2 linked regions of the Stegostoma tigrinum genome follow. The protein of the gene in region 2 interacts with the protein of the main gene of each other region in a pairwise test. Links are inferred from orthologs where the notes say so. Each region holds a gene or a part of one and is shown on either strand. Other genes may lie near its edges.

The links. The genes of interacting proteins can lie anywhere in the genome.
Region 1: the proteins of uba3 (region 2) and impa2 interact in binary tests that used the Homo sapiens proteins (3 or more experiments, as listed by UniProt). The two-hybrid records come from large-scale screens. The link is inferred for Stegostoma tigrinum from reciprocal best matches to the Homo sapiens genes UBA3 and IMPA2.

Annotation. Positions count from the first base shown.
Region 1 is NC_081358.1:117,128,317-117,135,392, reverse strand, and holds the start of impa2 (inositol monophosphatase 2), read right to left. Parts: upstream 3,023-7,076; 5' UTR 2,899-3,022; coding exon 2,812-2,898; intron 1-2,811. UniProt on the Homo sapiens protein: Phosphatase that can use myo-inositol monophosphates, myo-inositol 1,4-diphosphate, scyllo-inositol-1,4-diphosphate, glucose-1-phosphate, beta-glycerophosphate and 2'-AMP as substrates in vitro.
Region 2 is NC_081364.1:43,406,287-43,413,154, forward strand, and holds the start of uba3 (NEDD8-activating enzyme E1 catalytic subunit), read left to right. Parts: upstream 1-3,865; 5' UTR 3,866-3,918; coding exon 3,919-3,938; exon of another isoform or gene 3,939-4,009; intron 4,010-4,051; coding exon 4,052-4,090; intron 4,091-5,353; coding exon 5,354-5,474; intron 5,475-6,868. UniProt on the Homo sapiens protein: Catalytic subunit of the dimeric UBA3-NAE1 E1 enzyme. E1 activates NEDD8 by first adenylating its C-terminal glycine residue with ATP, thereafter linking this residue to the side chain of the catalytic cysteine, yielding a NEDD8-UBA3 thioester and free AMP.

The DNA.
Region 1 (7,076 bases), on a different chromosome or scaffold from region 2:
CTCAATGGGCCAGATGGTCTACTCCTGCTCCTGTTTATGATCTTGTGTGTTAGCTTTCTGAGTTTTGTACACAAGTCCTCCCAAGTCCCTTTGTGATGCAGTTTTCTGCAGTTTTTCCATTTAAGTAATACTGTTCTCTTTTACAAAATGAACAAGCTTGCACTTTCCACCCTTATAATCCATTCACCAACTTTTTGCCCACTTATCAATATCTCTTTATAAAGTGTTTGTATCCCTCTCATAACTTGTCTTTCCACATATTTCTGCATCATCTACAAATTTGATGACAATACCTTCACTTCCTTCCTCCAAGTTATTAATATATATTGTAAACAGTTGCTTGCTGTTACTTATGGCTGAAGCACTGGTGGCTTTGGATGTGGGCAGATCCAATTCACTAAGGTTGTCTGAGATGTGCCTCTCATTTGTGTCACAAAAAAAACTCACTCTCTGAAGTGATACTGGTCTCAAAATATGAACTCCATTCTCTCACTGCACAGATGTTTCCAGAACTGCCAAGTTTCTGCAATTCCTTCTGTTTTCAACTCACTATCTGACTTGAGCTTGAGAGGCAATGAACAGCATAAGATTGCTGTATGTGTACAGTGGATAAACAACTGTCGTCCCAAAGTTTAGGCCTCAGGCTAAAATGAACATCTACAATTTTAATGGTGTGACACCTTAATTATTACCAGCCAACCTCTCTGCATTGAATAAGCTACACATGTGACATAGGTTTTCGCTGTTGTTGTGTTTCTTTAAATGGAACACTAAACTTTTAATAAGAATTACCTTTTCTTTCTATCACTTTCCTCCTGTCTTAATAGAATTGCTTTCCTCCCTCGGACTCGCTTTCATCCTGATTTGATACTGAATACAACTACTCCAGTTTTCTCAGGAAGGGTCACTGGACCGGAATAGTTAACTTTGATTTCTCTCCACAGGTTGGGGTTCTACTCCTTGAAATGTAGAAGAATGAGATGCGACCTTATTGAAATATATAGGATTCTTAAAGTTTTCTTAAAGCTTCAGACCTGCTGAGCTTTTCCAGCAATTTCTGTTTTTGTTTCTGATATTCAGAATCTGCAGCCCTTTCAGTTTTTTTTAAAAATGCATTCATGGGGTATGGGCATCACTGGCTGAGCCAGCTTTCATCGCCCATCCCTAAATGTCCAGAAGGTTACATTTGGTTACAGAACTTTCACTTCCTTCCTCCAAGTCATTAACACATATTGTAAACAGTTGTTTCCTGTTACTTAAGACTGAAGCTACAGTGGCTTTGGTTGTGGTTTAGGAGTCACATGTAGGCCACATAAAGGGTAGCAGTTTCCTAAAGAACCAGGTGGGTTTTCCAACTGACATTGGATTCACGGTCATCACTAGACTCTTAATTCTAGATTTTTAATTGAATTCAAATTCCACCATCTGCTGTGGCAGGATTCAAACACAGGTACCCAGAACACCAGCTGAGTTTTCTGGATTAACAATCCTTCAAATCATAGCACCTAAGATAACAAAGTGTGAAGCTGGATGAACACAACAGGCCCAGCAACATCTTGTTATCTTGGATTCTTCAGCACCCGCAGTTCCCATTATCACAAAACATACCACCTCCCCACTTCTATTGGCTGAAAAGAGCTGGGGATCTGGGACCTGAGAGAACAGTTGGAAGCAGTAGTGCTCCTCCTAAACCAATTAAATGAGAAGATTGCGAAGTAAACCGCACAGGATTACAGGAGGAAGTGGAAATGAGAAGGGGCAAATCCAGTGTTAATCCAGAAAATGTGTGTTTCACACGAGCCTTCTGCCTGGTCTTATTTCTCTTGCACCCTCTCCATTCCTACGACACTTCTGTCTTCTTCCCTCCGCCACGTACCTTGCCCCTGGATATTTACATAGGCCACTCCTTGTGAGAGCAGATTCACGCTGCAGCCGTTCCCATGAATTCCCCACACAAGTTAAAGGTAACCACTTGCTATTTCTAACAGTTAGGGGCATTTCCACACGAGTAGGCATGGCCCTGCATAGCAAACCCCCATCATTAAAAAAACACCCTTAAGCTTTTGTAAAATGGCGAGGCCGATCCTTCTAGCCGTGACCCCTCAGATATCCTTGTAATTTCCTCATCCCCACCCCCCCGCCCTCCAATGCTCTTCAGGAAGAGTGAAAATCCCACCATGGGGAGTCGAATCTTCCTACAGACTTCAATAACCGTACCATGCTGGTGGGGTTTGTGCAGGAGGTTGAAATCTGGAACATGAACTGCAGGGGGGGCTGCAGGTTAATTTCAAGGTCTCTCTGACATTCATTCTGACAGTGACTGGGGATTTCTCAGCACGTTTGAGATGACTGGTAGCGGAAGCAGCTTTCACGGTTTTTGTTGCGGGGCTTACAACCAAGAAAGCTGTACCTCCTTAACGTTTTTTTAAATGTTTGAATCGCCTGCCCACTCATTCCCAGGCTGGCTATGGGTCTGACAATCCGTGCAGTCATGGCTTAGAGGAGAAACATTAAAACTGGGCTCCCTCATACAGCAACTGAATTGGAAATGTCTTTGCCTATTAATAACAATTACATTTTCTTTAATCAACTCCCCATCCCCCACTTCCTTGGCCTACCAGATGATTATACAGCACTAGATCCTGTTTCGCTGGGTTAAAAATCCAATACTCACTTCAATGAAACTATCAAACCCACTTTTGTTTTATCAGCAGCGGCCTCTCCGGCCATAAAGTGCCATTATAAAGACATCTCATGCCTGGATCAGCTCCGGTTACATTAATTGAGTTACTCCCCCAGCCTGTCATTCACCTGGCCGGCTTCCAGAGCCACCTGTACGGCCGCTTCCAGGTACTCTTCAATCGTCTGCTGTCTGTTCCTCTCGCCCGAGCCGGCCATTGCCTTCCCCTTCGCTCGGGCAGCTTTCAGAACGGCTGACTCCTCTCTCTCACTATATATAGATATAATATGCACACCACTCTCTCTACTGCACTCTAGTGTGAATCCCAGCTACAGCCGCCTCACCACAATTAACAATTCTTTGCCTATATCTCACACTCCAGTCTCTCCGTCGCTCTCTAGTGAATGTACTAGCTGTGAGCCTACTCACTCACTCAGATCCACCGCACAGAAAAAAGACCCAATAGCCCATTGAATCTGCATAGGTCAAAAACAGGCATGTATCTAAAGGGTCACCGGACACGAAACCTTAACTCTTGATTTTTTTTTCCTCACAGATGCTGCCAGACCTGCTGAGCTTATCCAAGCAACTTCTGTTTTTGGGATTTAAATCCCATTTTTCAGCACTGGTCCATATATTTGCAAGACTATGTCCGAATATTTCTTAAATGTTACGACGGTTTCTGCCTTTACCACCCCTAACAGGCTAATCCTAACCCTATCCCCTACACCCCTTCTACCCCTTACACTCAGCCACAATGAACAATTCTCTCTCAATTCCCTCCCTATATCTCACAAACCAGTCTCTTCGCTGATCTCTAGTCTATATCCCAGCGAGCAACTTTGGCTGTCCTGTTTGCTCCCTCTCAAATATTTCCAAATAGCACTCTTTGTAATTTGCTTGCACATTCTAATTAACTTCAATTCTGAAAGATCAAAGTTGACTGAGCTCTTCAATTTATTGGCTTTTATGTTGCAAAACTCATTGAGGTGGTAGGTTTCTAAATAGATGCCAGTCACTAACATTCCATCCCTAATTAGTCACTGTAAATAAACTATCACTTAAAGCAGAAAGATAAAGGTTACAGTGTGGAGATGGAGGAACATAGCTGGCCAGGCAGCATCAGAGGAGCAGGAAAGTTGATACTTCCAGTCAGGACATTTCTTCAGGAATGGGGAGTGGGAAGGGAACTTACTGCATAAATAAAAATCGTTCCATTCTAAGATTGAAAGTGGAATTGTTTACTGATAATTGCACAATGTTTCAGTACCATTCATGACTTCTTAGAAAATGGAGCAGTCCAGGTTCAAATACATCAAGACCTGGGCAAAATCTAGGCTTGGGCTAGGAAACAGCAAATAAAATTTGGGCCACAAAATGCCAGGCAATGACAACTTTGACCTCTGGCACTGCCCCGATTTTAATTAGGGAGCTGGGAGCGAAAATGTCAGTTGCCTAGACCATAACATCAGTCCAAAACCTTTCTATCTCTCCAACTCTGTCTCATCCTTTAAAATGCTTTTTATCCACAAGTTCTGGTCATTTCCTCCTGCATCTCCTGAGACATTTCTCATCGACAAACCTGGTCTGTTTACTCTCCTTTGAAGCATCTTGGGACAATTTACAATGTTTGGAAAATTTAACAATGTGATGTACAATGAGAATAACATATCAGATGATAAGACATATGAATGAATGAATGGTTTTATTGTCATGTGTGTTTACAGTGAAAGATACAGTGAATAGCTTCCACTGTTGCCATGATCCGGTGCCATTTTGAACAGTTTAAGACTATTAAAAACTTTAAAAGATATGACTTACAGAGAGACCCTAACCCTTCTGCCACTGCTTTGCTGCTGCCAGTACCATTCCCAACCAACGTTGAAGTCACCGCTCCTCAGGTGCCACATTTCTCCGCTGCATCTGCCAATGTAGCAGGCAATGGCCGGGTCCCATGCTTGCCCGTCTGCCAGCTGCCTCCTCGCCGCCATCCGCCAGGGTCCCATTCCACATTCACCAGCTGCCTCCACAGCCTGGGCCCCAAAGTAGCTCCCTTTCTCATCAATGCTGTTCTTGCTGATGCTGCCATGACTGAGCTCTCCCCAGAAGGTACGTAGAAACAAAAGCTAAAAAGAAGAAAGAAAATGAGAAAAGTAGGGGAAAAAAATGGAAAGTAGACAGAGTGGACAAGACCTGGGCTCAGGAGCCTGGAAGTAGGCTACTCCGCTGCCACCATCTTGATCACAAAGGAGCAAAGTAGGCCATTCAGCCCAACAAGTCGATTTTGTTATTCAGTTATGGTAGAATTACGTTAATTTATTTGATTTGATTTGATTTGATTTCTTCTCACTTGTACCGAGACACAGGGAAAAGTATTGTTTTGAGTGCTAAGCAGACAAATGGTACTTTACATATGTACATAATGGTAATAGAACAGAATATAGAATAGTGTTACCTCTACAGAGAAAGATTAACTTTAATATGAGAGCTCTGTTCGTAAGTCTGATAACAGCAGGGAATAAGCTGTTCTTAAATCTGTTGGTACATGTTTTCAAACTTTTGTATCTTCTCCACAATCGAAGAGGGTGAAAGAGAGTATAACTGGGGTGGGAGGAATCTTTGGTTATGATGGTTGCTTTCCTGAGACAGTGGGATGGATAGACAGAGTTAATGGATGGAAGGCTGGATGGACTGTGCTGTGTTCACAATTCTCTGTAATTTCTTATACTCTTGGACAGAGCATACCAAGTTATAAAGAGAGATTGGAAAGACTGGGGTTGTTTTCCTTGGAGCAGAGGGGACTGAGTGGGGGGCATGATTGAGAATGTAAAATGATGAAAAGCATTGATAGGGCAGAAAGGGAGAAAGTTTTTTCTTTGGCGGGGGGGGGAGGAATCAATGACTGGTGGCATAAATTTAAGGTAAGGAGCAGGACATTAAGAAAGGATGTGAGGAAAGATTTTTTTCACCCAGTTGGTGGTGGGAATCTGGAACTCACAGCCTGGGAGACTGGTAGAGCCAGCTACTTCAGAACAATTAGGGTTGGGCAATAAATGCTGGTCCAGCTAGCAACACCCACATCATAGGAATGAATCATGAAAGAAACACTGAAGAATAGAAAAAGTGCTACCATGTGAATTAATAACAGATCAGCAATTATACAGTAAAGACAGAAGCTCAACGATCAACAGGCTTCCCTTTCTGATACAATGGTGATAATGGATGCTGTCAGTAATGAATTTTGTTTGGCTCTAAATCCTCCACAATCCTTAGCCCAACCCCCATGATGCAACACTCTCACAGCCTAGAGTCTGTCAAATATACAAAACACTGTCAAGTCTTGCAAAAGCAAGGTGTCCTGCATAGACTTCAGAAATTCAAATTAAATAGGATTGAGGAAGGATTTAAAAAGTTACCAATCTTTAGGCATGTGTTAAAATCTAGATTGGGTTATCCCATAACAGAGTGATCGGACCCAAAGGCCAGTTAGTGGTTGGTGAATCAATGGGGCAGCTCCAAAACAAAACCAAAATAATGCAGAAGCTGGAAACCTGAGAGAAAAAAAAACCTGAAACTGGTACCGAGAGGTGGGGTTCATTAGACCTATAAAGGAAATTTATGCACGGAGGCAGAGGTGTTAAATTAATATTTACAGAGCAGGAGGATGCTGCCCAAGCCACGGAGATAGAGGAGAAAACTTTGTCATTAAGATACAAAATTAATAAGATAGAAGTCTTGGATAGATTATTAGCACTTAGGATTGACAAAGCACCAAGGCCAAATTAAATGTATTCAAGGATTTTGAGGCAAGTGAGGGTATAAATTACATTGGCCATAACCATTCAGTCTTTCCTAGAAGAGGGGGAGATGCCAGAAGTCTGGAGAATTGAAACCTTACAACCTTGTTCAAGAAAGGTTGCAAGGATAAACTCTGCAATTATGGACGGTTAAATTAACTTTGCCAGTGGGGAAACCTTTGGGAACAATTATCGGGATAGAATTAGTAATCACATAGTATAAGGTGGGCTGATTAGTAAGAGTGAGGACAGATTTCTAAAGGACAACTCATATTTAACAAACTTACTGAGTTTTTGAAGAGGTAGTGGAAAGGTTCAATCATCAATTGTGCTTGGAAGACCATCAACTCAGTGGATGATGCTCTTTGGTCTGTCTGAAACTTGTTGGTCTTCCAGGATAAAGAGCTGACCTCGACAGTGTTGCAGATTGGCACGTTCTAAGGTCCAGGACTGTGTGCTGAGGGACACACTAAAGCTTGGGGCAGCTACCTCCAGGGTGCAGTGGAGAAAGACCACCATGTGAGGTCTTTCTGCCAAAGCACAATGGGGATCTGTTCAGCTATCAGACCATCTTGGTGCCTCAACTGTATGTAAATATC
Region 2 (6,868 bases):
CTGGTTTTGCTAGGGTCTTTAATGCCACACTTGGGTCAAATGCAGCCTTGAAGCCAAAGACAGTCACTCTCACCTCACCTGTAGAATTCAGCTCTTTTATCTACGTTTGAACCAAAGCAGTAATGAGGTCAGGCGGTGAACGGTCCTGTTGGAACTCAAACTGACTGTCAAATAGCAGGTTATTGCTAAGCAAGTGCTGCTTGAGTGCACTGTTGATGACACCTTCCATCACTTTATTGAGAGTAGACTGATGGAGTGCTAATTGTATTTGTCATGTTTTTCATTCTTACATCATTGACGTTGGATGTATTTGTTAAGTCTTCTCTAGTGAGTTGTTCACCACCATTCAAGCCTGGGTTTAGCAGGACTGCAGATTTGATCTGTTGGTAGTGGAATTGCTTAGCTCTGTCTATCACTTGCTGTTTATACAGTTTGGTGAGAAAGTAGTTTGTAGCTTCTTCAGGTTGATATCTCATTTTTAGGTTTGACTGGCACCAGTCCTAGCATGCTGTCCTGCAATCTCCATTAAAATTTGGAGCATAAAATTATGTGGAGCAATTATGTCAATTATGCAATGTATCCCTGAAAAATACAAGGAAATATAGTAATATCTCTGAATCTCTACAGTGTGGAAGCAGGCTATTTGGCCCATCGAGTCCACACCACCCTCCAAATAGGATCTCACCCACACTTCAGATCCTGCTTTTCCCATGGCTAATTGCCCCAACCAGATATCCCTGGACACTATGGGTAATTTAGCATGGCCACTCCACCTAACCTGCACATCTTTGGACTGCGGGAGGAAACCAAAGCACCTAGAGGAAACCCATGCAGACATGGGAGAATGTGCAAACTCCACACATACAGATGGATTAGATAGTGCAGACTACATCAAAGTATTTCATTTTAATCAATTTGCACTTGAATGGGGGAGAACTCAGAACTAAACTCGGAGACAAAACAAACTTGGGCTATTATTCGTCTGTCAATTTCTACTATCCTATTGTATAAACATTAGCATGCCAAAACTTCTTGCACATTTGATATTACTTTGTCTCCTACTTTAACAAAATTGGCAACTCATCCATTTCTCACAAATGAATGATGGTATTAAATGTCTGACGTAAAATACATATATCCTAATGCTGTACAGATTAGTTTTGGGCTTTAAGATTCAAATTTTCCATTTTCTGTGTTTTTCTTCTTTATTCTTCCCTGGGATGCAAGCATCACTGCCAAGGTCAGCATTTGTTGCCCATTCCTAATTGTATGCCAGGCCATTTCAGAAGGCACTAAAGAGTCTTGCTTTGGTCTGGAGTTTCATGCAGACTAGACTAGTTAAAGATGGCAGATTTGCTTCCCTAAAGGGCTTTAGTGAATCAAACATATTTTTAAAACAATCAATGATAGGTACATTACTGAGACTAGTGGATTTTTTTCAGCATTCCAAATTTTTGTATTGAACTTAAATTCCACCAGTTGCTGCCTCTGGATTACTGATGCAATAATATCACCACCGTGTCACCATCTTGTCCCGTGGGAGATTCTACAGAATTATTCAATGTCAACAAAAAGAACATTTATAGTTTTTTTACAGACCAATTTTGTACAAGTTTCACTGATGAGTTCTTGAAATTAACTGCTTTGGTTAAATGTGACATACTTTCTCCTTACAGGTAAACACAGTTCTATGCTTTCAAAGTTGTTTCTCAATCTACCTTGCAAATTATATGAGATAACAAGGTGTGGAGCTGGATGAACACAGAAGGCAAAGCAGCACCTTAGGAGCACGAAAGCTTTTGCATTTCAAGGCGAGTGGCATAATTAGATTGAAATGGAAATGTGCTGAGGGGACAGGATTGGAAGAAACAGTGACTTTGGCTACAACTGTGGCATTGTTCTAAAACTATTTACTTTGCTCAGGGCAAAGCCACTATTTTTTGCTCTTTAGCTTTCTAAAAGCAGAGTTGTCATGTAGTTCTGTGTGCTGAACAAATCAACAGTAGGGGACAAAAATTGGTGGCTTTGCCCTGAGCAAAGAAGATAGTAAATAGTTTTAAAACAATGCCACAATTGTAGCCAAAGTCATTGTTCCTCCCAATCCTACCCCCTCGCACATTTCCATTTCAATCTAATTATGCAACTGGCCTTGAAATGCAAAAGTTTGCAATAATTTTGTGAGATCATGAACTCCTGCCTACAGCAGAATTCCACCCATCCTGAAGAAGCAGCAATGTTGGGTAGTTGGTAGGAATATCTCTGACAGTGGTGGAAGCTGTGGTGGTTACACCATATTTGTGACAGCCTGGTACACAGACACACAGTAATGTATTCCTCCAGATCAGCAGGGTTTTGCGATTATGTCCTTATTTAGCCACTGCTGTTTAAAGACACTGCAGTCCACACAGAGTGGGGACAAAAATGGGAATAACTGTAACATTGGGATATTTCTAATCTTTGAATTGTCAGCATTTTTGCTTGTCTCAGCTGCTTTGTTTTTAATTCACAAATTTCACTAGAAATATTAATCATGTAGGTTGTAATAAAGTGAAGTGTGACCTCTGGAATTCTGAGCGGGAAACTGAATGAAACATGCTGTCTGCAGACAAATTGCTCAATTAAACCAATTGCTCTGTTTATAAGACTAGCACATGGGTGGAGTGAGAGTCAAGCAAAACACTAAGTTCTGTTTAAAACAGAGAGAGCGCCTTGAATTTTACAGGTCAATTAGTCTAACATCAGTTTGATAAAACTAATAGACACCATGATTGGTGGGCAAAGCAGGATATGGAGCATTCTATTAATGATATTATTGATTGGAGTTGGGTATTTGTTTTGGGGATATTTAAGTTTAATTGGTCATCTGCTATGGCTAGAGCAGCACGGTGGCTCAGTGGTTAACACTGCAGCAGGGACCCAGGTTTGAGTCCAGCCTCAGGCGACTGTCTGTGTGGAGTCTGTACGTTCTCCCAGTGCTCCAGTTTATTCCCATAGGCCAAAGATGTGCAGGCTAGGTGGATTGGCCATTAAATTGCCTGTAGTGTTGAGGGGTGTGTGGGTTATAAGGGGATGGGTCTGGGTGGGATGCTTCAAGGGGCGATGTGGATTTGTTGGGCCGAAGGGCCTGTTTCCATGCTGTAGGGAATCTATATAAAACAGATATTTCTGATGACTTTAATACCGATGTCATTTCTCAAAGGCATTTCCAGAACCTAAATTTTGCATAGCAATGGCTATCTCAATTCTTAAATTCTCAAATCCAAATCAATGTCCCTGAATAAAGATCTTTTACTCATAATTCAATTGTCTGAGTTTATAAGTGTCTCATATTGCCAACCTCTTCATCTCACTCAAAAATTCTGCATTGTTCCTGCAATATAGAGACTAAAAATGAACATGGCAGTCAAAATGCAACCTCACTGACCCAAATACAGATTGAGCATCCCCCAAATTTGATTTCTAAATCCCAACGTTTTGGGTTCCTTTTGACTAGCTACAAACAAACACAATGATTTTACTGAGCATTTTCCTATCCTCCACATTATGCAACAATCTGTGTTAAAAGTACAGACACTTGAGCTGCTGTTTAACATCTGCCAATGACAGCCGTGATCCGAACAACAGCAGCGACAATGAACTTCACTAACGTGCAATCTTGAATTTTTTTTTGTCTCTTTGCTAACCTTGGAGTACTGCAGAATCAACTTTGATCCACTTAACAGCAAGGTCTGACCACCAGTCACTGACAACCCAAACTGCAGGCTGTCCAAAGGCAAATGATGACGTCACTCCCTGACAGCCAGTTGTCTTGGGGGGATGGAGAAAGGATTGGCCGCTGGGATTGTGGGATGTCATGATTGGTCGGCGGCAATGGACCGTCCCAGCCGTGGCTGCGCTGGCTGATGGGAGCAGGAAAATATGGCGGATGTACCGGAGCCGTGAGTATCTCTGCGTGAACTCCGGCCGCTCAGGCCTCTCTCGCATTGACTTCTGCTCGTTCTTCTCTCGGGTGAGCATGTCTGAACCTTCTTTTATTCTCTCTTTTTTTTAGGGAGAAGAAAAGAAGGAAAGTAGAAGAGCACACTGACAAGTTAGTGTTGAATGAATTTAGCGGCCCTGATTTTCTGCTTGCGAGGTCTGAGGCTGGAGGCTTGTTATGAGCTGCAGCTCCGAGCAGTGGGATCAGTGCGGCCTCAACCTGCATCCTTATTCGTCCTAAACTCGGGAATTAACTGCTTGGAGGAATAGGAATATATTTTTTAAAGGAGGAGGAAATCTGTTGGGATTGCAATAAGTGTTAAAACATTAAATAGCCTTATTAAACATTTATTCATTGGCGTGAATTAAATTGACGTGACATGAACTAAATTGACGTGACATGAACTAAATTGACAGCTAAAAACTCCCAGTTGTGTTTTGCATCATTTGTATAGGAGACCTGATTAACGCATAACCAGTTTTAATTGGGGTAAATCTGTATTTCAGTCGTTGTCTAACTCGCTAAAGTTGTGATTAAATGTTATGTTTACATTTTTAGAAGTCGATTCTATGTGTTGCTTCTCAGCACCAAATAATCTCCTCTTCTATAATATGCAGCATTTTTTGAAATTTCTGACCCTTGTAATATTACTGAAATGTAAGAAAGAAATATTATAGGTCCTAACTGAATACCCGTATAAAAATGGTTCAAGGTAACAATCCCATGTCTTTTCAATTCGATTAGAAAGTCCCTAATTTTGATATAGTACTGTATGTATTTTGGCTCCTTTTCAATCCTGCTCCTTTATGTTATACTGGGCGCCCATGACAAATGTTTTGCTTGCATACTCATCTTTGATTGTAGCTTGTAAAGTTACAATCAGTAGTTTGTTTTTCTATTTTCTTTCCCTTGTCTATGCTACAGCACATTAGAACTATCCCTTGTTAGGAGGTTGTGGGGAATTGCAAATTCAGTGAAAATAATTTACACTTTAATTTTAGCTGGTGTCAGTGCTGCTTGTAAAATTTAACAACTATTCCAAGAAAGGATGTTTGCACCAGTTTTAATTGGGGTAAATCTGTATTTCGGTCGTTGTGTAACTCGCTAAAGTTATGATTAAATGTTATGTTTACGTTTTGGTGTTGAGATTGCTGAAAATTCCCCATCTGAGAGATTCTTTGTCTGATTTGAGGCCTTGTAATACTAAAGTAAAATTAGAGTTGTTTGAGGCTCATTCAGTCTCCATCTTTAAAGAAATGTAAATACTACTTTTGAGAATGTCTAAGACAAGTAGTTCTCTTAAATAATATTTCTAATAATTATGCTGTGTTGTGAAAACTAAATCTCTAGTTGAGTTTATTGTGTTCTGTGCAGAATGGCTGTTGATGGTGGGTATGGGGACACTGGAGACTGGGAAGGTCGCTGGAATCACGTGAGGAAGTTCCTTGAGCGTTCAGGACCGCTCTCACACCCTGACTTTGAACCAAGTACTGAAGTGAGAAACGTTGTTATAAATCTAAGTTTGGTACTTGATAGCAGCTGTGAATTTCTTTTTGCTTTTGCTAAATGTTTATGTCACAGTGAGAACAAACAACGTCGGATATCAGTAAGTCACGCAATAGCTGCTTAAATTAGGAAACCTACCACTGATGCAAAACCTCAATATTCTGTTTTGCTGTTTTTGTTTGCTGACACAAAACAACAGCTTTGAGCAAACTCTCGAGTTGCAACATCTATAAACAGTATTTCCTTATCTTTGTGGTGAAATGTAGATAGCTTGTCTGGTTTGTCAAAATCCTGCTAATGGGTTAAGTTTAAAATTCCCCTGTTTGTGGCTACAAATTGAAAGCAATCGATTTAGGTCTAAAATCTTAGTCTGTTACATTTTAGTCAGTTTCTATTTTTAATGTAAACACACGAATTTTCATGCAAAAGTTTGGAAAATGGAATTTGCTGCCATACCACAGTAATTGAAACACTGACTTTAGTGCATTTCAAGGGTCATGAGATGAGCACACAATGGAGAAAGCAATAGAATGATTGAGTAAAATGAAGAATCTAGCTGCAATTACAACTTGTTACCAGATTAACGTTGTGATGTCTTAATTTTGTACATCCCAGTTACTTTGCCTTACTGTGCAAGATCAGCTGCTTTGTAGATTTCCAAATTGCCATAGCTTGTTCCATTTAATTGGAAATATAAATACATTAATGGAAGCATTATGGACAATTAGGGACAGAACGTATGTATTTTTCAAGCAATATCCTCCACACAAATTCCATTTTGTACCGTGTGCCTTTGTTTTATCAGTGATTTGACTTCAGAGCAAATTTTCAAAGGCCTTTTTAAAATCTTAATATACCAGATCTGCTGTTTCTGTCAATAGACTGCAGTCTTTGTAGCTACTTGTAATTGGCAGTTGGGAAATGCTCATAGCTCCTGGTCATGTAGCACAGAAGAGGTCTCTGGCCTATCAAGTCGGCACCGAATCCCACTTTCCAGCATTTGACTTATAGCCTTGAATGTTAGGACCTTTCAATTGCACATTGATGTACTTTTGAAAAGTTGAGATTTTCCGAAGGTTGCAGGAACAGCAACTCATATTCCGCTTGGGAACCCTGCAGCCCAATGGTATCGATGTGGACTTCACCAGCTTCAAAATCTCCCCTTCCCCCACTGCATCCCAAAACCAGCCCAGTTCGTCCCCTCCCCCCGCTGCACCACACAACTAGCCCAGCTCTTCCCCTTCACCCACTGCATCCCAAAACCAGTCCACCCTGTCTCTGCCTCCCTAACCTGTTCTTCCTCTCACCCATCCCTTCCTCCCACCCCAAGCCGCACTTCCATCTCCTACCTACTAACCTCATCCCTCCTCCTTGACCTGTCTG